Linked DNA regions of Rhinolophus ferrumequinum. The main gene of each other region encodes a partner of the protein of the gene in region 3 in a complex. Links are inferred from orthologs where the notes say so. Each region holds a gene or a part of one and is shown on either strand. Other genes may lie near its edges. The genes, in order: PLRG1, SART1 and SNRPD1.

The links.
Region 1: SNRPD1 (region 3) and PLRG1 share a complex: the UniProt entries of both Homo sapiens proteins name them as parts of the minor spliceosome. The link is inferred for Rhinolophus ferrumequinum from reciprocal best matches to the Homo sapiens genes SNRPD1 and PLRG1.
Region 2: SNRPD1 (region 3) and SART1 share a complex: the UniProt entries of both Homo sapiens proteins name them as parts of the U4/U6-U5 tri-snRNP complex. The link is inferred for Rhinolophus ferrumequinum from reciprocal best matches to the Homo sapiens genes SNRPD1 and SART1.

Annotation. Positions count from the first base shown.
Region 1 is NC_046301.1:25,386,293-25,393,646, forward strand, and holds the start of PLRG1 (pleiotropic regulator 1), read right to left. Parts: upstream 3,999-7,354; 5' UTR 3,878-3,998; coding exon 3,869-3,877; intron 2,403-3,868; coding exon 2,296-2,402; intron 2,010-2,295; exon of another isoform or gene 1,934-2,009; intron 1,263-1,933; coding exon 1,120-1,262; intron 423-1,119; coding exon 369-422; intron 1-368. UniProt on the Homo sapiens protein: Involved in pre-mRNA splicing as component of the spliceosome. Component of the PRP19-CDC5L complex that forms an integral part of the spliceosome and is required for activating pre-mRNA splicing.
Region 2 is NC_046294.1:5,875,508-5,882,861, forward strand, and holds the start of SART1 (U4/U6.U5 tri-snRNP-associated protein 1), read right to left. Parts: upstream 4,753-7,354; 5' UTR 4,672-4,752; coding exon 4,359-4,671; intron 2,501-4,358; coding exon 2,443-2,500; intron 2,060-2,442; coding exon 2,004-2,059; intron 1,525-2,003; coding exon 1,398-1,524; intron 1,275-1,397; coding exon 1,169-1,274; intron 914-1,168; coding exon 836-913; intron 706-835; coding exon 606-705; intron 519-605; coding exon 376-518; intron 282-375; coding exon 75-281; intron 1-74. UniProt on the Homo sapiens protein: Plays a role in mRNA splicing as a component of the U4/U6-U5 tri-snRNP, one of the building blocks of the spliceosome. May also bind to DNA.
Region 3 is NC_046302.1:17,463,754-17,471,107, reverse strand, and holds the start of SNRPD1 (small nuclear ribonucleoprotein Sm D1), read right to left. Parts: upstream 4,577-7,354; 5' UTR 4,433-4,576; coding exon 4,419-4,432; intron 1-4,418. UniProt on the Homo sapiens protein: Plays a role in pre-mRNA splicing as a core component of the spliceosomal U1, U2, U4 and U5 small nuclear ribonucleoproteins (snRNPs), the building blocks of the spliceosome.

The DNA.
Region 1 (7,354 bases), on a different chromosome or scaffold from region 3:
CTCTACACACACCCAGGTAACATTTCTATCACCCCTGCTTCTATACTAACACTTCTAGCATCACTTTTATAAGCTTAGTGACATTTACATGTCTGTCTAAACCTCCAAATAATAAGCTTGTCTTACCTTGGGGCAGTCTTATTGACTATAAATTCCTAGCACGGTGCCTGAAAAAATACAGGTGCTCATGAATGTTTGCCCAATGAATGCATGTGACACTAAGTATTCGCTAATTATCATCTAAAAAGCTGGATGCCGGGCTATTAAGCTTATCTTGTATTTTACAGGCAATGGGAATCATATTATTAGTTTATTCATGGAAATATATGTGACAATAAGACATTTTCAATGTGTAACAGCTCACTTACCAGGTCCAGGTGGATAGGGATGTGTACCCGTCACCAAATATTCAACATCTTGTCCTTAAAAAAATACAAGAGAAATTCATCAATGACAAAATTTATCTTATGTACCATACTAGTATCATTTCTTTTAATGAACTAAGTAATTTTAAATTATCAACTGGATTTCTAAAATTTTCATAACTAAACCCAAGCTTCAAAAATAAAGCTGATCATTTTTGTTTTGACTTCTGAAGACCATGTACATAGTGATTTCCTTGACCATTTGCTGACATGATGTCAAGAACTTGTGCATTTGCTATATAACAATCGTGTGTAGAGGTCACCCTATAAAGTAATAATCCACTCTGATTTTTCTTTTAAGCAAATGGTTTCCCTGTGGAATATTGAATTATCTTTATTCACTACAATTTCAGTATTTAATATCATCTTTCTGAATTATAGCCTAAAGAGATAGATGGTCTCCCCACAAATTAGGAATTTTTCCACTATAACCAACTCCATATCCTAATGGTTTCTGCCACCATTATACTACCACTTTTATTTTTATTTCCTGTAGAACTAAAACCCACCAACCAATACATATCTCACTCACTATTCCAATGAGGAAATCTAGACTTCCATCATAATACTAGTGGTGTTAAAATACGGTATGGCTCTAATTAGTCTTCCACCAAGAGGGGCACTAATAAAATATTTCATTTATTTTTAAAAATTCACACGTAAGTCCTGGCATTTCTGACAATGCCACACTCACCTTGGTTGGCAGGATACTGTTTATGACCATATGAATCTGATGCATTCTGAGGGCCCTTCTCTTTAAAATTTTCTTTCGAAGTAGGCATATGCAACACAGGACCATACTCATTCCTCAGCTTGATTGCCATTTTTCGTTTGTGACTATTTTAAAAAGTTATAAACAAAGGAATGTATTTTTAAGTACTTCAAATATAGTCACCAAAATAAATATAGTCACAGATAGACAGGAAACAAGTACTTAAATAGCTTAAGTTTGCCTAATTATGTAGAAAAAGTTTCTATGAAGATTTTAAACATTTTAAAAAGCTCAAAATTTCCAAGTACATTTCCACACTTTTATTCACAACCCACCACACAGCATCCATTAAGTCTAAGAAATATTTTAGCTTGTTAACCGATAAATATAAAACCTTTCATGATGAGTTATCAAGGGTCTAACTGATTTTAAAATATATAGAAACAAATATATCTTTTTTTTAAAAAACCTCAGAATCAATACTCTCCTTCAAATGTCTAAATACAAAAATATAGTAAAAGCTTCTACAATAACGTTTACTAGATATTTTGAAGGTTAGAAATGATCGAAGTACTTAATTAGCTCAATATTTTATAAAGAAATGCACTTATTATATTGCTTTCAAGAATAGCCTACTTTACAAATTAAATATAAATGCTTGTTTGAGGAATTAAGTAGACTTTAAAAGAAGGGTGAAGAACAAAGAAGGAACACTGCACATAATGCAATCCTAGACTGGAGCTGGAGATGTAGAACCAAAAATATGCCACCACTCAAAAATCTTCATCATACTAACGAGAAAAGATGGGAGTAGAAGTACTGGCCAGGTACAATTTCAGCTCAGCAAGGCTCTGAGAGCAGCGGGAGGGAAGCTGAAAGCACATACAAAGTGATTGATTATAAAATAAAATACCTAAATGGGACTCTCCTAATTACTGGGTATTTGTAAAATGCAATTAATTAATTAAGTAATTAACTAATTAATGTAAAAGGCCAAAAAAAAGTTAAATCAGCTTAAGTTACTCCACTCATTACTGAATAGATATTCTGTGAGTGTTAGTGTTATTCACTAAACTCTAAAGGTACCCCTCTCCCTGCTCTCTTCCCCCAATTTTAGGAGTTTAAATATTCTAGCAATTGAAAAGGAACTATACCTACCTCTCTTCATCCAAAGGCACAGGTTTTCCATTATCAGCTACAAACATGTCATGGGTCCTCTTCAACGACCGGAACACAAGTGTATGCACAGAATGTTTCTGTACTTCCTAGAAAGAAAGAGTATAATTACATATCTAGCCACAGACTACACATATCAAACCTAAATTAAAGTCAAATTGTCATTCCGTTGCATGTTTAAATATGTCAAAAACTTTGCACCGCTCACCAGAGCTACTTGTAGCAAGCTACAGCAGTCAAGTTCAAAGGACGAAGCTCCCCTTTTTTGCTAGAACCCCAAGTATAACAACTGAATTATGCCTGAGATTAGTCATTTATTCAATAAAAGTTTACTGAGCTACTATTTGTCTGGTAGGTACTGTGTCTGGTAGGTATTGGGCTGAAAGCTAACAACAGAACGACAAAAAGATGGTCATGGTCGCTGTGCTCAAGATGAAACAAGACACATTTAAATAAAAATAAGCAAAAATAACTCCACATTTTGATAAGTACTGTGAAGAAAAGAAGCAAGGGACTGAGAGAGTGGAGCAAAAACTTAGGATAGTTATGAAAGATCTCTCTGAGGTGCTATTTAAGCAGAAAGGGTGTTAGCCTTGCACAGAAAAGAGGTTAAGAACAATCCAGGCAGAAGGAAAACACCATGCGCAAAGGAATTCAGTAACAGAAAAAATGCCAGGAGGGGCAGAACAATTGTATGTGTTTGGTGAGAGGGTGAGTTATGATGCAAGATGAGGTTGCGAGGGTAGACATGGTCCAGATCTAGTTAGGGTTTTTTGTGTTTTTTTTTTTTTTAGACCATTATAGCAGTCTGTATTTTTGTTCTAGCAGCATAGGGCCAGTAAAGGGTTTTAAGTAAGAAAAGCAGGACCAACTTACATTTTTAAATAGATTAACTTGTGTGTGTGTGTGTGTGAGAGAGAGAGAGAGAGCGAGAGAGCGAGAGCGAGAGAGAGAGAGAGATGGAAGGAAGGAGACCAGTTTGGAACCAACGCAACTGTCGAGATGAAAGGTGAGGTTGGTCTGAATTACGGTGATGGCAATGGGAATGGACAAAAGTCAAGAAACAGTTCTGAGAAAAGACAGACAAGGCTTGCTAATAGAATGGTTGTTCAAGCTAGGGAAAGATGCAAAAATTCAAGAACGGCAGATTTTCCTGGGGAAGAGCTAAAAGAAGAGACAGAGTCACCACGGGAGCAAACCGCCAGTCGCCTAGAACACAGATGCACTGACACCACCCCGCAGGCGGCGAACACGGCGGTCGAACATCGACAGAAGCCGCACCTCCGAGGGCAGCGCCCCGCTCCAGTGCCCAAGGGTTAAATAAGGAGGGGAGGCGTTAGCTTAGGCTTCCCGCCCGGAGGGAACCTCCAATTCGTGCTCTCATCCCCTGAAAAGCCTCCCTCTCTCCCTGAAAACCTAGAGACAACCTGGCCTCGGCCAAACAGCCTCCCTGAGCAGCTTCTACTCTCCCTGGATCCCCTCGATCCCCCGTGCCTGTCGCCAAAGGAAAACAGTCCAGTAGCAAACTACCCCTCAGTACCAAATGTCACTTTACCTCAACCATGATGCTGCCGTGTATTTCCCCGCTCTGGCAGGAAAGATACTAATCACCAACAGAGAAACCGCCGCCACAACTGCAGCCTCTTCCGGAATCTGGCGCCCTGACGCCGGATGTGACGCAGCCCCGCACGTTGCGCGCTGGTCTCCCGCAGGCTTCCCGGGGTTGAGGCGCCGCCCTTTTTACCCTCCGGGCCGCCGCTGGGGCAGAGTCTCGGGGCTGCGGAGCGGACGCTCCGGGAACACGTGTTTTGCTAGGTGTAAAGAAAAATTGATGGAATTGGACATTTTCAAACTTGAATAAACAAACATTTCCCTGGCTCTGCTTATTCCTTAACCATAATCAGTTCCACTGATCTTGTCCCCGGAGCATACTGCATGTACTTGGAGGAGGGGGTGTGCAATCTATCAAAAGTATAGCAATGTGGATTGATCTTCCCATTTAGAAATGTATTGATTTAAATTAGTTAAACACATTAAAGTCATACTTGAAAAGGCAGTCATCCCCGAATTTGAGTGTAAGTTTTGCCTAAGAACTGATTTTCTCTAACAGTGGTCACTGATGTTAGGGCTTGCAAGGAAATATCATAATTACAAAATACATACTGTACTAGTGACACTAAATCTTGTAACTATAAAGACGGTAATAACTATACAAAAGAACATGATTTTAAATGGCAATAAAGTTATAGAAATGTAAGCAAGATTCTAATATGTCTATAGCAATATAGTAACTGTCTATTTGGGTCTATTAGCTTGTTAGTTACTATTCCTGAAAAAAAATGTAAGCCCAGACTCATAAAAACATTGTAATGACTGAGGTAGATTGGACGAGATTATGCTCCTTTTGAAAAGCTCTCTTAAATTTACAGAATTATATTATCCACTTGAAACTTTTAGAGAGCTCCGTGACCGTATTACTAGCTCAGGGATCCAAGAATTACCTATATATAGTATGTAAATTTTGTATTTATGTAAGAACCTGAATTTTGTTCTGGTGAAGGGATCTATAGGTTTCTTCGGATTCACAAAATGATCCACGACCCAGAAAAGGTTAAGAATCCCTGTCCCGGTTGACACCCGGAGCTGCCTTATTTGAGCAGTAGGGGTCACTGTTGCTCTTCATAAGGATAAGAGGATTTTCGTTACACTAAGACACGGGAGATAATACAAGTTATCATGTCTTTTGGAATTCCTGAGATCAGAAACAGAAAAAGAATACTTGGACATTTCTATCAGGAGTTTGGTCTTTAGTTGTTTATTACAATGATAAGAATGGACCCAACTGCTGAGGTAGTGTTTTCAGGTGCTTTCTGATAACACAGTTGAGAGGAAAGCTTTTGGGACTACAGGAGACAATGAGGGAGCTATTCTTCCACTTAATGCCTGGGAAGGCCTGGTACATAATTAAGCTACACTGTCAATTATATACATCTTAGTAAGCTGTGTGTGTGTGTGTGTGTGTGTGTGTGTGTGTGACGGGAAGAATGTGTTTTTTGTCACAGTTTCACTTTCCTCTATGAAGTCACATCCCATATCACAAAAACAAGAGTCAAAAGTGAACATGATCATGACTCATAATTTATCTTTATTTGTGTTTCCATTTTTGCAAAAATATGTCAGTGTTTATGCTGACAAAGTAAAAATTGCAATGTGACATTTCCAGTTTTCTTAGCTGAGTCCATATACCACCGTGTTCGATGGTAATATTTGTTTATCTGTATTTCCCAACAGACATATGGAGTGAGTATGCTGTGATATTCACTATTACACACCCAGTGTCTAGTTGACTTGCAACTTATATGCTTTCAAAATTTGTTGAACGATTGAGTAAGGAAGATGTTAAGTTTTAGACACTTAGATATGGGGTTGGAAGGCAATGAGACATAAATTTTGATGTGGGGTTGCAGATAGTAAATCTATAGGAAGGATATTGTGTGTGTGTGTGTGTGTGTGTGTGTGTGTGTGTGTGTGTAATGTGCTCACCCTTGAAAAGATGCTACTATTTCAACAACCATTAATTTAATCTTAACTCTTTTCTATGTGTAAGGCAGAGAATTGCTTGTATGAGGAGGACAGTCTGTCTTTCTAATCATAGTAAATTTTAAGAAAAGGAATTATTTTTCACTATATTTAGGTAAGTTAGTGCCAAATTTTGTTTCGTGTATTTCAAATTTAATTCTGATACTAACTTAAATGATACTAATTTATTTGTAAAAACATATGATTTGCAAAAATGGATTTATTTGGCAGAAAAACTTCCTGACATCAATAATTAAGAGGATTAAAGCATACTGATTGTATGAATATTTTACTATTATAATTTAGACATTTTTAGGCTTTCTTTTAAAATACTACCAAAAGTCAGCGTCATGTTTATAGGTTAACATTAAAAACATTCTAATTAGCCAGCCACAAAACTAGAATTCCTATTATCACCATTAGTATGCACACATTTTTGTCCTGAAAGTAGTAGTCATGCAATTGGATGAGAGAAAAAAAATAAGTGGTGTGAAATAAGAAATAATGAAACAAAGCTATCTTTATTTGTGTATGGTATGATTTTATGCCAAAAAGAAAAAAAAAAAGAAATCAACTGGAGAAACTATTGGAAACAATAAGAGAATTCACTAAAATATAATATCTGAGTACAAAAATAGTATTAAAAAATCAATAGCTTTCATATATGCAGTTAAAAATATAATGAAAAAATGATTTTATTTGTAACTTATAAATGATAAAAGCGCAAGACTTAAATAAAAAAAATTTAGAGGACATAAAAAAGATTTGAACTAATGAAAATGCATACCTTATTCTTGGATAGGAAGACTCAAAACTATAAATATATCTAATGCCCCATTAATCTAATTCTGGGCACATTTTACAGAAAATATTGTTAATTTAATTCAAGAAATAGTTACTAAATAGTGAATTTTTTTAAATGAATGTTACTAAAACTCTCCAAAATAAAATAAAAGTTGTAATATTTTACAGAGTTTTACTGCTGGTACTATATACTTCAGTACACAAACTTTTCATCATTTATTGTAATATAGCTTCTCTTTTGAAGATGCAATTTATGCTTTAAAAAAATAGTCTGATTTCTATTGATCTTAATTTTCTCTTTGGATTAGTTTAGCAAATCTGAGAGGCCATCTCAGCCTAATTTACCGAAAGATAATAGGGAGGGGGTGGATACTATTAAGGACATCAGGTGTCTCAGAGACTTGACAGAGGAATCAAATGAACAAGTTTAGAAGTTTTGATTATTTCTGCTGCTGGAGTTTGGAGCCTTTCCCTGTAGAATGCTGGTATGACCCATCTACCGGGCTAATTGACCTGATTCTCTGCTTATGTCCTTTGCAAACATTAAATTAAATTAAATTGGGTGAGAGAAGCTGATAGCGCTGACTTAGGTAAGGGTTCTACTCCTAGCTCAGTCATCTGTGGCTAGAGAGTCAGGATATCACAAGACTAACAGGAC
Region 2 (7,354 bases), on a different chromosome or scaffold from region 3:
CTCCCTCCTTAGCCCCGAGCGGAAGGAGGCACCACTGCCTCCCTCGCGGTGTGAGCAGCGGCCGCAGAGCTCACCATCTCCTCGGGTGTGAGGTACTCGGAAGCGAGCCGGGGCCCCACCGTGCTCAGGGACTGAGCCTGCAGCCGCAGCTTGGCCCGGACCTCTTCCAGCTCGCGCTCCCGAATGCCATCGGCCATGCCGCCCTGGTCTAAGCGGAAGGAGTGCAGGCGCTCGCCCTCGAGCTCCTCATCGTACTTGGACAGGATAGAGCGGGGTTTCTGCTGCAAAGGCAAGAGGTACAGGTTGGGACCCAGCCTGGCTCCCCAGAAGCCACAGAGCCACCCACTCCTCCCGGCCCCTACGCCGCCCGCCTGCCTGGGCCAAGTCGTCCACGCTCTCGTCCTCTGCATAGGGCAGGTAGTCGGGCTTCTTCTTCCGCAGCTCCACGTTCTTCTCAGCCCGCTCCTTATCCACGAGGTTCACATTCACCAGCACGTCCTCCTCCTCCTGCAGCACGCCTGGGGGCAGGGCAGAGGCCATTCACACACGCCCTCGACTCAGTAGCACCTTGCCCCCAACCGGATGACCCCAGCCCCCCAACCTACCCTTGTCCTTGAGGGTGAGGACCACAGTTTCCCCTTCTTGGAAGGACTCAATGGCGTGCTCCACGGTGAGGCCCTGCAGGTCCCGGGCACTGTACAGGTCCTAGAAGGGAGGGGGGAGGTCCCGCCGAGTCAGGCGCCCAAACCCCCCAGCCCTGGGATCCCAGCACCATGGACAGCAGTGCCTCCCACCACCACCCTACAACTCCCCACGGCTGCCACAGCAGCCTCACCTGCCGCCTCTGGCCGAACTCCTCCTCCACCAGAGTGCTGACACCAAACTCTTGGTCCATCTCCTCCAGCAGCTTGGCCTATGGGACAGGAGGGGGAGTGACCCAGGAGCTCAGGCCATTCAGGACCAGAAGACACGCATGGCCTTGTCAAGTGGGAGCACACAAATGGCAGGCCTTGCAGGCAAGCCGCTGAGAACCCAAAGCGGACGCCACTCCATGGACCTCCTACCTCTCTGAGCCCGGCCTCACGCCCCAGGGGTGGGATTCCTGCCTCACCAGCCTGTGAAGCCACCAGCGGCCCTGAGCAACCAACCCCGCTGCCTAGGCCCTCACCCTCTTCTCCGCCAAGTCCTTCTCCTTCTGCAGCTGCCGACTCCTCTCGATCCAGGCGGTAGTGTCATCCAGCCAGGGGTCGTCCTCCCCCAGTGCCTTGATCTTCCTGAAGTGGGAAGAAAGTGACTCTCTGGGGAGCCCCGCTCCTGCTCCCCCCACCCCGACTCCAGAGCTCCATGGCAGCCTCCTCAGACCCTTCCCTTGTCCTCCCTGGCTGGGACCCCCTTACCCTAGCTTTTGGTTCAGGAGGCGCTTTTCTTTGGCAGCTGCCAGCTTCTCTCGTAGCTCCTCTCGCTGTCGCAAGGCCATAGGATTGATGACATCGGCTGCCACGGGCTCCTCCTTGGTGCCCGCCTCTGGAAGGAGGGCCCAGACGTGAGGCTATGCCTGCCCATGGCTGGTGGGGAGAGGAGGGAGCCACTCACCCTGCCCCCTTCCAGCTCAGGTGACCAGAAGGGGCCAGGAAAGGGGGGGAAGGATCCTTTACCTCCCTACACCCACTTTATTCCGACACTCCCATGTCACCCCACACAGCATGATGGGAACCCCCTACCAGGCCTTCCAAAGCCACTCAAATCATGCTTAAGAGATAACCAACACCTGCACAGCCCCGATCAGTTTGGAGCAACTGTGCACATTTCTCAGCCCATCTACCGCTACCACACAGCCAGAGTGAGGAGCCATGCCAACTGTGCAAACTTCAAGAATAAGCTGAGCGTCAGATCCCCATGTGACAGCAAGAAGGAAGGCCCATGCCTACTGGCAAGCACACACACACATGCTCCAACCCCACTGTCTTCAAAGACCCCTCCGATGCCCTCAGCCCCATACTTACCCTTCTTGACGGCATTGACCTCCAAGGGTTTCAGCCCCAACTTTGCCCGGAGTTTACTGAGGGTAAGAGATACAAAGGTTAAGAGCTGTCAAAGAGATGGGGCACCAAATGCATTTCCGGATAGATGGGGGATGAAAACAGGACGGGGCAGAGTGGTCCTAAGGGTCCCCAACACAGGGCCTGACCCTGGAAGCCCAGGGCACTGGGAAGGACACAGGTCTCCCAATCAGGGAACACAAGTGCTCCGCCTGGCTGGCCCTAACCAGTGGAATGCCGTCCTTCCTCTAAGGCCTTAGTGTCCTCTTCTGTAACACAAACGGTGGGCTGACGTGATTTATATGGCACTTCCAATGCCAACCAGCACACTTTAGTGTGCGGAAGCCTCCCCAAGCGACTGCTCAGAAGAAAAGACTGCAAACATACAGGACACAGTACTCACTTGGTCTCCTCGATGCTGAGTGACGAGGCATCTCCTGAGCTGCTTTTGGAGCCGGTAGCTGGAACAAGAAGCACGACTCAGGAGGCGAACGCAGGGCCAAAAAGCCACAGCCTTCGCTCCGCTGCACGGCCAACGATAAGGGCCCCTCACCAGCACCCGGGGCTTGCTGAGACACCAGAACACGGCAGCCTCTTCCCACCCCAGCAAGTCCTTCTCCCTGAGTCCCAGTCTGAGAACCCCGCCTCTTCTAGATCCCTTCCTTTCCTCACCCCAAAGGTCCAACTTTCTGCATCCCACCCTTTGCCACCTCTCCACTGTTGTATATTCTGTGTTTTCAACCTGCACTGCCCTCTCTGGCCTCACTGACTGACAAGTCCTATCCAAACGCCAAGATCAATCGCCAGCTCTTCCGTGAAGTGCTTCAATTATTGACCAGAATGAACTGCCCTCCCCAAACCCCACAGCACGGTCAGTCATGTCTGGGTCTGTGGCTCTCCACAGGGCAGAGACCATGTTGGTAGCATGACCATGTCAATAAACACGTTACTGGTGCTTGTCCCCTGCTGGATGTTGGGGATACAGCAATAAAAAAGCATTTCAAACTTCCTCCACCCACCTCACAAACAGCAAATACCTTTGCTGAACACCACAGCCAGAAGCTAAAAACCGTCAGGTGGAGCTCCCCCAACCAGCTGCCACCACAAGCTCATCCTTGCTGCAACTCGCCCCCAGCCTAACTCCTCCCCTTTTATTCCACCTGGACCCTGGATCCCAACCCTTCCAGGCACTCTTCAAAGTCACCAGCTTCCTTATTTCTAAAACCAATGCATTCTTTTCAGCTCTGGTTTTGCTTGATCTCCTGTAGTGTGTGACCCGTCTTCTAACAATCCTCTTTCCACAAATCTCATGACAGAAGATTCTATGGTTTTCCTGTCTTTTTGGCTATTCTACTTCCTTTCCGGTAGCATCAGGCTCCGCTTACTACTAAAATACTGGCATTTCTCAGGCTCTAGTCCTGAGCCTGACTTCTCACTCCCCACTCTCTTCAGGAGACTTCGCATGCCACCTAACTACTCCTGACTCCCAAATTGCTGTATCCCACCCAAACCTGGTCCTCCCAGGTTTCTCCCAAGCACATCAAACACAACACTCTGCAAAACTGAATTCATTCTCTTCCCCTAAATGCCTCTTCCAAACTCAAGCTCAGTAGATGACGCCACCACCCACCTAATTGCTGACACCAAAATTTGAATCCTCAATCCCTTCTTCTCCTTCCCACCCTCATCCCACCCCCATTCCTCCTCCAAAACACTTCTTCAGTCTTTCCACATCTCTCCATCCCCCTGCTGCTGCCTTGGTGCAGGCCAGCATCAGTCCTCACCTGGTCTCGTTTTGACTACCTTTGACTTAGTTTTGGATGCAGTCAGTGATCTGTGCAAAATAGGATCAACTCACTCCCCAGCTCAACTGCACGGCTCCCTACGACCCTCAAGACAAAGTTCAAATTTCATAACAGGGCACCTCGTGTTTGGACCCCTGCGGATCTTACTGCTTCATGTCTCTACTATGAGCCCTACACGATTTGCCCAATACCTGATTTTCTCTTGCCTCTGCACACCCTGGTACCACTTCATTCAATCATTCATTCATTCACTCATTTACTCACTCACTCAACCCATTTACCGAGGACCTGTGATATGCCAGTTGAAGAAAACACAGAAAAATCTGTTCTCACAGATCTTAGGAGAGAGAAACCACCATTAATCCCAAACAATGGTAAGAGGACCCTTTAAGAAGTGCTGACTAAGAGAGCCCGCGGGTGCCACGGCCTGGAGTGCAGGGCCGGCGTCCGGCATTGCCTCCACGCCCAGGGCCTGCCAGCCCCGGGATCCCCCCGCGCACGCCTCGCCCCTCACCGGTCTCGAAGCCGTCATCGCGCTTCTCCCGCTTCACGCGCCGCTCGGAGGGCTCGGTCTGGCTACGCTCCCGCCCGTGCGCGCCGCTCCGGGTCTCGGCCTCAGCCCCGCGCCGCCCGCCCCCGCGCTCGGTTGCCCGCTCCCGGCTCCGCTTCCGTCGTTCGCCGCCGCTGCCGCCGCCGCCGCCGCTCCGATGCTTATGTTTTTTGTGTTCCCGGTGCCGCGGCGGTTGCTCGGTGGCGCCCCCGGTGCCGGCCGCCGCCGCCGTCGTGGCTGCCTCCTTCTCCCCGCGGTGCTTCTTTGACGATCCCATAGTGGTCCGGCCGCCCCGTGCCCGGCCGCCGCCGAGCCCAGACTGCGCAAAATGGGAACACTTCCGGGTCGCCCGCTGTCGTGTAGCCGGAAACCAAGAGCGGCTGCTTCCGTCCTTCGCTTCAGAGCCGGCCCCCAAAGGCTTATGGGAAGGCTGGGGTCGACGTCCGCGTGCACAAGCTCGGCCACCTCGGGCAGGGTGGTGGTCCGATTGTGCATGGGGAAGGCGGCGTCCCAGTGATGGGGAAAGTGAGCTAAAATGGTGGCCGGAGCGGAGAGAGACGTCCCCAGCCTAAGCCCCAGCCCACTTCCTCATAACCCCCTCCAAGCCACACCCGGAGCCAATCACCGGACCACACCTACCCCTTCCCCGACTGAAGGAAGTTCCTAACTCAAAAACCTGCTCAAAACCTTGCTAGGGGCTCAGTCTTTGGGAAGGATCCCGCTGAGCCCGCCGGCATAATAAAGCTGACCTTCCTAACTCTCTGAGTGCCGCTTAGGTTCTTCCGGTCTTGGTATCCGTAACATTCTTGGTTCCCTGACCTGGAAACCCAACCGCGCTGGCCCCTTGAGCCACCGGTTTGGGCCAGAGCAGACCGTAGGGTGGCGGGAGAGCCGGGGCAGGGCTAGGCGCGCCCTGCTCATTTCCGCCGGCCCGGGACCAGCGACCTCCCACCAGCTCCGGCCCGTGACTCCCTGCTGGACCCCAGTAGAGAGAAAGGACGGACAATCAACCAGGACATCGGACACGGTAAGACCCGGGGCCCGGGACCCAGTTAGGCCTGCCTAAGGGCAGAAGGGGAGCCTGATCACCTCCTGCTGAGTCCCACTTTGGACTCTAGTTAGGGCCATTCCGGGGGAGGGCGTCTTTCCTCCCGGAATGAATGTGTGTGTGCTTGGTCCCAAACAGGATTCTGTATGGATCCACTGCCTGTCGGCTACGGAGCTGGGGTGAGCCCCAACCTGCGTTCCATGGTAGCATCCTACGGCATATGGTGATTCGCACTCTCGGAGTGCGACCGAACCCCGGGCTTATACGGGCACACCTTAGCCAAGACGTACCCAAAGTTCCCGCGAGGAACACGGCCAGGCGGGCGCCTGATTGAGACCATTCCCTTGTCTACACTACACCGAACATCCTGGGAGGGAGTCACGGGAAGCCCAGGGTTCTAGACTGCATGTTAAAGAATTTCAGAAAAGGTTTCAGAGGCGACTAGGGGGTCAAAATGACCCCAGGACATCTCCGCACTTTATATGAACTGGAGTGGCCAAGTTTTGACGTGGAATGGCCCCCAGAAGGCACTCTTGACCTCCCCACGATTTGCCGGGTCTACATAGTTGTCACCGGGACCCCAGGATATCCATACCAGTTCCCTTACATTGACTCGTGGTTGGAAATAGGCCGAACCCTTCCTCCTTAGGTACGGTTCTACTCCAATAGTAAGGGACAGTCCAGGATCCTCATTGCACGGAACCCACAAGGCCGTGCCCAGAAAGACATGACTAAGACCATTTACCAGGGAGACCCCCACGAAGAGCCACCACCACCTCCCTACGCATCACGGCCAACGGCTGGTGCGGCCCCACCACTTCCAGACACTCCGCCTCCATCTGAGCCCCCCAGGCCGACACCCAACTTCCCAAGCCCTCCCCAGGGAGCCCCTGATCCTACACACCAACCCTCACTGGGGCCTGCTAGTTGACTTCGGTCCAAAGACCCGCCTCTGCTTCAGCTGACCCTCCAGGAGACCAGAAGCCCAGACCAAGTTGGAGATGACGGGACCCTCCAGCGAGGACACCCCGTCATCTACTACCAGCCTTTCTCCACCACTGACCTGTTGAATTGGAAACATCATACCCCAGCTTACTCGGAGAAATCGCAAGCCATGATAGATCTTATGGAATCTATCTTCCACACTCATCGCCCCACCTGGGAGTTCTGTCAACAGCTCCTCTGAACACTCTTCAACACCGAAGAACGCCAGCGGATCATATAGGGAGCAACGCAGTGGCTAGAAGAAGTGGCCTCTGGAGGAGTCCTGGATGCTGCCACCTGGGTGACCGAGGCTGCTCCAGACGCACGGCCTAATTGGGACTTTAACACTGAAGCAGGGAGAGGCGCAATCCGCCGATACCAAGATGCTCTCCTACGAGGGTTGCGGGCAGGAGCCCGAAAACCAACCAACATGTCCAAAACAGCCGATGTAACCCAAAACGGGGAAGAAACTCCTGGCAACTTCTGTGAACGTCTCTGTGAGGCGTTCCGGGTCTACACTCCATTTGATCCGGAAGCCCCCAAGAATCAGAGAATGATAAACACAGCCTTTGTCGCTCAGGCAGCTCCTGATATCTGCCGAAAACTCCAAAAACTCGAGGGGTTTGCAGGAATGAATATCCCCCAGCTCTTGGAGGTGGCTAACAAGGTCTATCAGTACCGTGAGGTTGTAGCTAAATGAGAGGCTGATAAGAGGATGAGAGGAAAAAGTAACCCTCCTCGCGGGTGCTCTCCAACAAGGAGGGGCTAGGCCCCGAAGAAAAGGGCCTCCCTGTTGGCAGACAGGCCCATGTCCTCGCGTCCCGCTAAAAGAAGACCAATGCACATATTGTAAAGAACTGGGCCATTAGAAAAACGAGTGCCCCGAACGACAGAAAGGAAAACCTCGGCCTCCCCGTGGTCCCAACCC
Region 3 (7,354 bases):
TATCTTCATGAATATGGGAAATTTGGATTTCTTTTGTGAATTACCTATTTACGTTATTCACACATTTTCAATTAGGTTGAATTTTTCTTTTATTTTCTACTAGTTTGCCATAGCCATTCAAGTTTGTGGTGTTCTTTAGTCATACAATTTTTTTTCATTTTTATACTGTTAAAATTGTGAATCCTTCTTGGGTATGTAATTTGTTTAAGAAGTTATTACCCATCCTGAGATTGTAAAAAGTCTCTTATTTTCTCCTAGTTTTATATTTAGTTTTAATCCACCTGGAATTCATCTCTTTTCTATGCAGTGTGAAGTAGGAATCTGCCTTTATCATTTTCCCCAATTGGATAGCCACGTGCCTCAATGTTTTCTGACTAATCCATTCATTCCCCACTTCATCTAGTCTTTTTATTCCCTCCCTAACTTTTTATTATGAAATAATGCAGAAGAAGGAAAGTTGAATGATTCACAAATTATTGAAGTGTTGCCATTTGTCTGTGTGTCCCACCTCTACATACACAATTTAACACTTTCACCATATTATCTAAAAATAAAATTTGCAGGCACTTCAGCATGCATTTTCTAATGAAGACATTCTCCCAAGCAACCATAATACCACACCTAGAAAATGAACAATAATCCCACAATATGATCTAATATGCAGTTCACATTCACAATTTCTAGTCTGTAATAGGTACTTTGTACAGCCCATCATAGCATCTATCACACTAAATGGTACATGCTGGATTATCTATTTCCCTCCCTACTACACTGTTGTTGAGGGTAAGGTTTATGACCTTTAATCATGAATTATAACAGGCACTGAGTAATAGTTGGCTGAAATGTTTCAATAATTAAAGGGAATCCAGCTATAAAACACTACATTTTTCGTGGTATAGGCAGCCATCAAAAAAGGGGAAATTACTTGATCTAGGATAAAACAAGTCCCAAACTTCAAACAGCTCATCTGTCCTCATAAAGACTAATGGGTTGAATCTTTTTCTATTTGCTGTCAAGATAAGTCTCTCTCAATGAATTGCTTTATTTCACCAGACAAAAGTTCTTTAACTTAGCTCAAAATTTATTAATCACTTTTAACTACATTAACCTAGATTGTTCTCCTGCACTTGGGTTTACAAAAATCTTTTACTTTAATTGACCCACTCATTAATATCTTTTCCTTTTATAAAAGTTCTTTCAAATAATTTTTGGAAGCAGGCAGAATTAAAGTAAACACAAAATACCTTCTAAATCAAGCAATCTACCATATGGAAATAAAAAGAAAACCAGAAAGCAAAAAAAGACATCTGAAACTTCAAAACACATTTCAGAAAGCCCAAAAATATTTCTTTGATAAATAATATTTATCATTACGTAGTAGTCCCATAATGCTGGATAATGAGAATTAAAAATTAGTAAGACCATGCCTCAAGGAACTCAAACTCACTAGTAGAAAGGACACATAAAAGATATTTTTAAACTAAATTGTAAAGCCCAATAGAGATGCGCACAGGTTTTTACCAGGTCCATGAGGTAGCATGAGGAATCAAGTTTCAGTGGATTTCTAGTAGGAAGCCTGAAAAGTTGGAAATATGCAGCAAAGAGTGAAGAGCAAAGATACGGTAGTTAAGAAACAGCACAATGTACAGAAAAATTATAGGTACAACCGATGGAATATTAAGTCTAAGAAAATGAAGAGTTAGGCAGATTCCTTTCATGGAAAGCCTAAGCTCTGTTAAAAATTTCCTCTAGGAGAGTTACTGAAGGGTTTTCAGCAATAAAGATTGCCAGGATCACATTTACATTGGAAGACAAATCAGATGGCTACAGCACTATAGAGGTTAAAGTTACAGTAATCAAGACATAGGAACAACAAACGGATCAATGAAACCGAATAGAACCTAGAAATAGAAATAGACTCACATTTATACAGTCAATTTTCTACAAAGGTGCTCATGGGACTGCCAAAGCAGTCTGATGGGGCAAAGGAAAGCCTTTCCAACAAATGAAATCCATAATAGGGATTTATGTTCCACGATAATACGGAATGACTGGAAATCCATCTAGAAAAAAATGAACCTGGACCCCCTAACTCACACCACTTACCAAAATTAATTGAAGACAGATCATAAATCTAAAAATCAAAGTAAAATTATAAAGCTTTTAGAGGAAAACATTGGAGAATAACTTCATCGTTTGAGGGTAGGCACAAGTTTCTTTGACAGTGCACAGAGAGCAATAACTATAAAAGAAAAAGCTGGTAAATTAAGACTTCTTCAAAATAAACGTATGCTCACCAAAGACATTAAGGAAATGAAAAAGCACACCACAAACGAGGAGAAATTCTATCTGACAAAAGACTAGTATGCATAATACATAAAGAATTCCTACAACTAAAATAAAAAGAAAAATACAACCATAATTAAACTCTTCACAAAGATATACAAATGGCCAATAAGCAGGTGAAAAGGTATTCAACATCACTAGTCATTAGGAGAATGCAAATTAAAGTCAAAAGAAGACTACTATACAAGCACTGCAATGGCTAAACTTAAACTGACAACAAATGCTGATGAGGGTGTGGAGCAAGTGTAACTCTAATATATCTAATATACCATTCATTTGAGGGAGTGTAAAATGCTACAACCACTTTGGAAAATGATTTGGCAGTTTCTTATGAAACTAAATGTATACCTGTGCTATGATCCAGCAACTCCACTCCTAAATAATTACCCAAAAGAAAATGGGGGGGGGGGGTGGGGGAAGGTAATGTTCCATATCTTGATAGGGTTTGGATCACACAGGTATATAAATTTTTCAAAATTGGGAACTGTACACTAAATATCATTGTAAGAGATATTTAACTCAAGAGGTTAATAAAAAACATGGGTGAAAAAAGGGAGCTTAAACAGCTCAGTGGTGGCAACTGGAATGGCAGGGAGGGTATCATGAGCAGGAGAAACAGACACAATAATGTGAGCCTAGAAACCAAGTAGATTGGAATCATTTTCTGATGAATCCTGCACTATCTGAATTCTTTTTACTTACTGAAACTTAGATATTCAGATATTATTCAAATATTCAAACATGGTATCATTCAGCATCCAAATTCACACTATTTAAATTTAAAAATCAAAGAGAATTGGATAGTGAGAGATACTTCCATTAAGTAGATAAAAATGTTCAAACCTGGCAATTTATCAGACATCAGGATTATCAAGAGAGGAAGAAGTCAAGACAACTCCCAGGTTTTTGATTAGGATGACAGTTCCACCAACTTAGGTACAGAAATAAAAAAGTCAACTGAAAATGCCATCCGGTTAGACAAACAGCCATTTTCTTGGTTCAAAATGCCTTCTCCAGTAAGAAGAAATTTTGTTTATTCTAAGACACAGAAAAGGATTCAATACAGCCATTGAAATTAACAGGAAAATTGTCACAGCACAGAATATCTTTAAATGAGAGAAACTGATCCCAAAGAGTAGCACACTAACTAAATTCAGACTGCCAGATATTGAGAAATTGTGAAAATATACTTTAAATTTTGAGACGTTATTATCCAGTTACAGTTCAAATTAAAACGAACAAAAAGTTCACTTTAAATGCTTTCTCTACAAACTCCACCCTGAAGGATTTATGTTATTTCAAACATACTAGAAATTAAATGCAGAAAGATATAAAACGGAAGACATATCGATCATCCGTGCAATCAGCTACAAATACAGAAAGTGATTCTGCCCCAAGTTGGGAGATTTCCCCCCCCCCCCAAATGCAAGGCCTACTTTAAAGGGAAATGTAGGTCGAATAATCCTAAATTTAGAGAACATCCAAAAATACTCTAAAAAAGTAACATTAAGTCAGAAGTCCATCCCTGATTTAAAACACTTCGGAAATGGGTTTATTTTCCAGATAAACCTTTGCAGCTTCTAAGTACTCTTTTTAAAAGCGCATTAAACTACTTACACAGGGAAATAAATTTTCTTTATGTCTCCCACGTTCTCAGGGACCGTGGACCTAGTTACATTTGCCGGTTCCTGAGAACTGAAGATGGGACCGAAAAGTAACCTAAACTAGAGCACGAGTTCTACTGGAAATGAAAATCGGTTGGTAACCGAAAGCAAGACCTTGTACGCCTGCCCCTGCATCTTTAAGGCACTTGAGACATTGGATGGGAAGAAACGGCTCGGCCTTTACATCCACCTCTTGGAAGACACACAGGTTCCCGGAACGACCCTTTCTGAAGAGCAGGCCCGCGCGCCGGCGCCGCCAACCTAGGGCGGGAGCGGCGAGCGCCGGAGGCCGTTAGCAGGCCGCGCGCGCACGTGGCTTTCGCGCTTCCTGCAACTGGGGCAGCCGTCTCCTGCTCCCGGCCCAAACCGTCCCGTCAGAGCCCTCATTCCACTTGGTCACCGCCTCACCTCACGAGCTTCATCCTAGCGGCGCCGTCACGCTCTCGGTCCGAAGAGTGCACAAACCCCAACAACCAAGGCCCCACGGACTGGAGTATGAATGGCCGGAAACGCCTACTCCTGGATCTCCGACGTAAAGGGCGCGCAGAGCTCTGCGAACGCGCGGCGGAAACGCTGAGGCCGCGCAGGGTCGCACTCCCTTCCGCCCGCGAGGAGCGCCATTGCGGCCCCTAGCGGCTGGAGGTGTGCCTTGCGACTGCTGAGGGCGTTTAGGTCTGGTTTAGGAGGAAATTTCCTATTAGAGGGAGATTTGAGGATATTAAATTCAATTAGTGGACACTTTGGCACGGCATCTAGTGTTATGCAGCACCAAATATACCCGTGTGCGAAGGAAAGGTCTGAGAGAAGCCCAAAAGATTATGCTAATTCTGCTCCAAAACCAAGAACCTCAGCACTACTTAATGTACATGGAGAAAATCACACAATTTAGCTAATTATTTTCACTTTAAATTCTGGTAGCAAACCTCAAAAGGGTACCCTATATTGCCCAGAGATAGTGTTCTGCTTCTCATAAGCTCACAAATTATTTCATACTTTCTTTATTCCTCTCAAAACTTTTATAGTCCCTCTGCCAAATCACTCTCTGCTAATGTTTCCTACTTCTTGGAGAAACAGAAGCCATTCTTCTGCTTTATTCCTGTCGCAAAAGTAGAAGTATTGCTTCTTTCAAAGGCAAATTCCTTTTCACTGTAGTATGGATCCCCTCGCTCATTTTTTTAAAAATTTCATACCTTCAGTTATTCCCTTCTAACTTGAATCATCAGTTTCTCCGTCTCTACTGGACTTTTTTTTTCATCAGCATACAAATTTACTTTAAAAACAAAACTCTCTGGGGCGGCCGTTTTTCCCAATGGTTAGAGTGCAGTGCTCATAACACCAAGGTCGCCCATTCAGTTCCCTCATGAGCCAGTGAGCTGTGCCCTCCACAACTAGATTGAAAACAATGATTTGACTTGGAGCTGAGCTGCGCCCCCCACAACTAGATCGAAAACGACTTGACATGGAGCTAATGGGTCCTGGAAAAACACACTGTTCCCCAATATTCCCCACCACAAAAAAATTTGAAAAACAAAACAAAGCAAAAGGTCACCTCTGATGCAGCTCCAGCTACTGCCAGATTTCTTTTACAGAAAAACTTGAATGAGCTGTCTATGCTTGTTTTTATGACCTCCAATTCACTCTTCAAACTACACTGAAATTGCTATTCTAACAGTCATCAGAAACCTCCAAGATAAACTTCTATCCTCATCTTAAACATCTCAGCAGCACTCAACGCAAACATTCCCCTTTTGAAACACTCTCTTTCCTCTCTTGCTTCCAGGATGGCAAATACATCTGGTTTTATTCCTATCCTACTAGCTACTCCTCTTTCTAGCTGTCTCATCCTCTACTGAGCCATTACATACTATGGTACTCAGGGGCTTTCTCCTTTTGGATACTTTCTTCTTTAGCTTAGATGATCTCCAAAACCATGGCTTTAATTTGTATCATCAGTCTGGACTTCATCCCTGATCATCGGAAATCTTGGACTTCATTAAGGCAATGCTCATCAAACTTTAATGTGCATAGGACTCACCTGGAGCAAACTTCAGAATGAAAATTCTGATTTAGTTGGTGTGGGCTCTGAACTCCTGCATTTCTAATGTTAAAGAAAAAAAAGCCACACGCCCAAAAAGGCGTCACTCGTGCTAATAGCCTCTGATACCAAACCTAGATTTCGTACCTGAAATTGCAGTTTCCATCTCTCCCAGAACCAAAATCTTAATTAACCAGTTTGGAATTTTCTGATCAAGCACCAGGAAGGGCATCTGACACCTAGGCCCTCTCTATGCACCAGTTGGAAAGAAGAGGAGATCTACATGATGGAAACCCTTCCCCTTCTCTTTCTTGAAAAGATGTCCTGGCTTCTTTCCTTTCAGTAATAGCCCTCTTGCCCTTTTCTGCTTCCTACTAAAAGCTTCCAATTTGTACAACCCCTCAGAATACCCTTCTAGTTGCTAGATGGTATGCTGCTCAATTCATAAATCACTTAATAAAGCCAATTAAATCTTCAGATTTACTCTGTCGAATTTTGTTAACACTAACAAGCCTTCAGTTGGTGAAGATGCCCTGAGTCCATGAACCACAATTTGAGTAGCAAGACTGTAATGAATATGTGCTGCCTTTTCAACATCTATCCCCTTCTTTTTCCAACAGTTTCTAGTAATCTGGTGATTTGTATGTTCCTAAGGAAGCTGACTCTACCTTTAGATCAATAATCACATTCCATTACTTGTCCACAGTGGACTTGGGATGTAAGCTGATCTAATCAGGACTTCGTGGTATTATGCTCCTTTTGGACATGAATGGAGAGGTAGTTATTGGAAACTTCCTTAGAAACAAGAGAAGAACCAGCAGTTCTAAGAGAGAGTTTTAAAAAAACAAAACTCATCATAATATTAATGAGCCCCTGGATTAAAAACAATTATTAAGTGAGGCTGTTTAAATTAAAATTAAGCAAAATTAAAAATTCATTTCCTCAATGATAATAACCACATTTCAAGTGCTCAATACTCATATGTGGCTATAGCTACCTTTTTGGACACTGCAGATATAGAACAATTCCATAACCAAAGGAAGCTCGATTAGACAGTGCTGCTCTATTTATTACCACATTGATTTCCTTATTTGTATTTAATTGTTATTTGTTTACTTATTTATTGACTGACATGAGAATGGAAACTCTCTGAAGGCAGGGATTTGCATCTGTTCTGTTCACTTTCTGCATACCCAGCATCTAGAATAGTGTCTTGCACACAATGTGCCCTCAAGAAATATTTGTAAAATAAGTGAATGTCTCCCCCATCAGAATGCATGTTGTGTGAAGAAGGGGACCTTGTGTATTG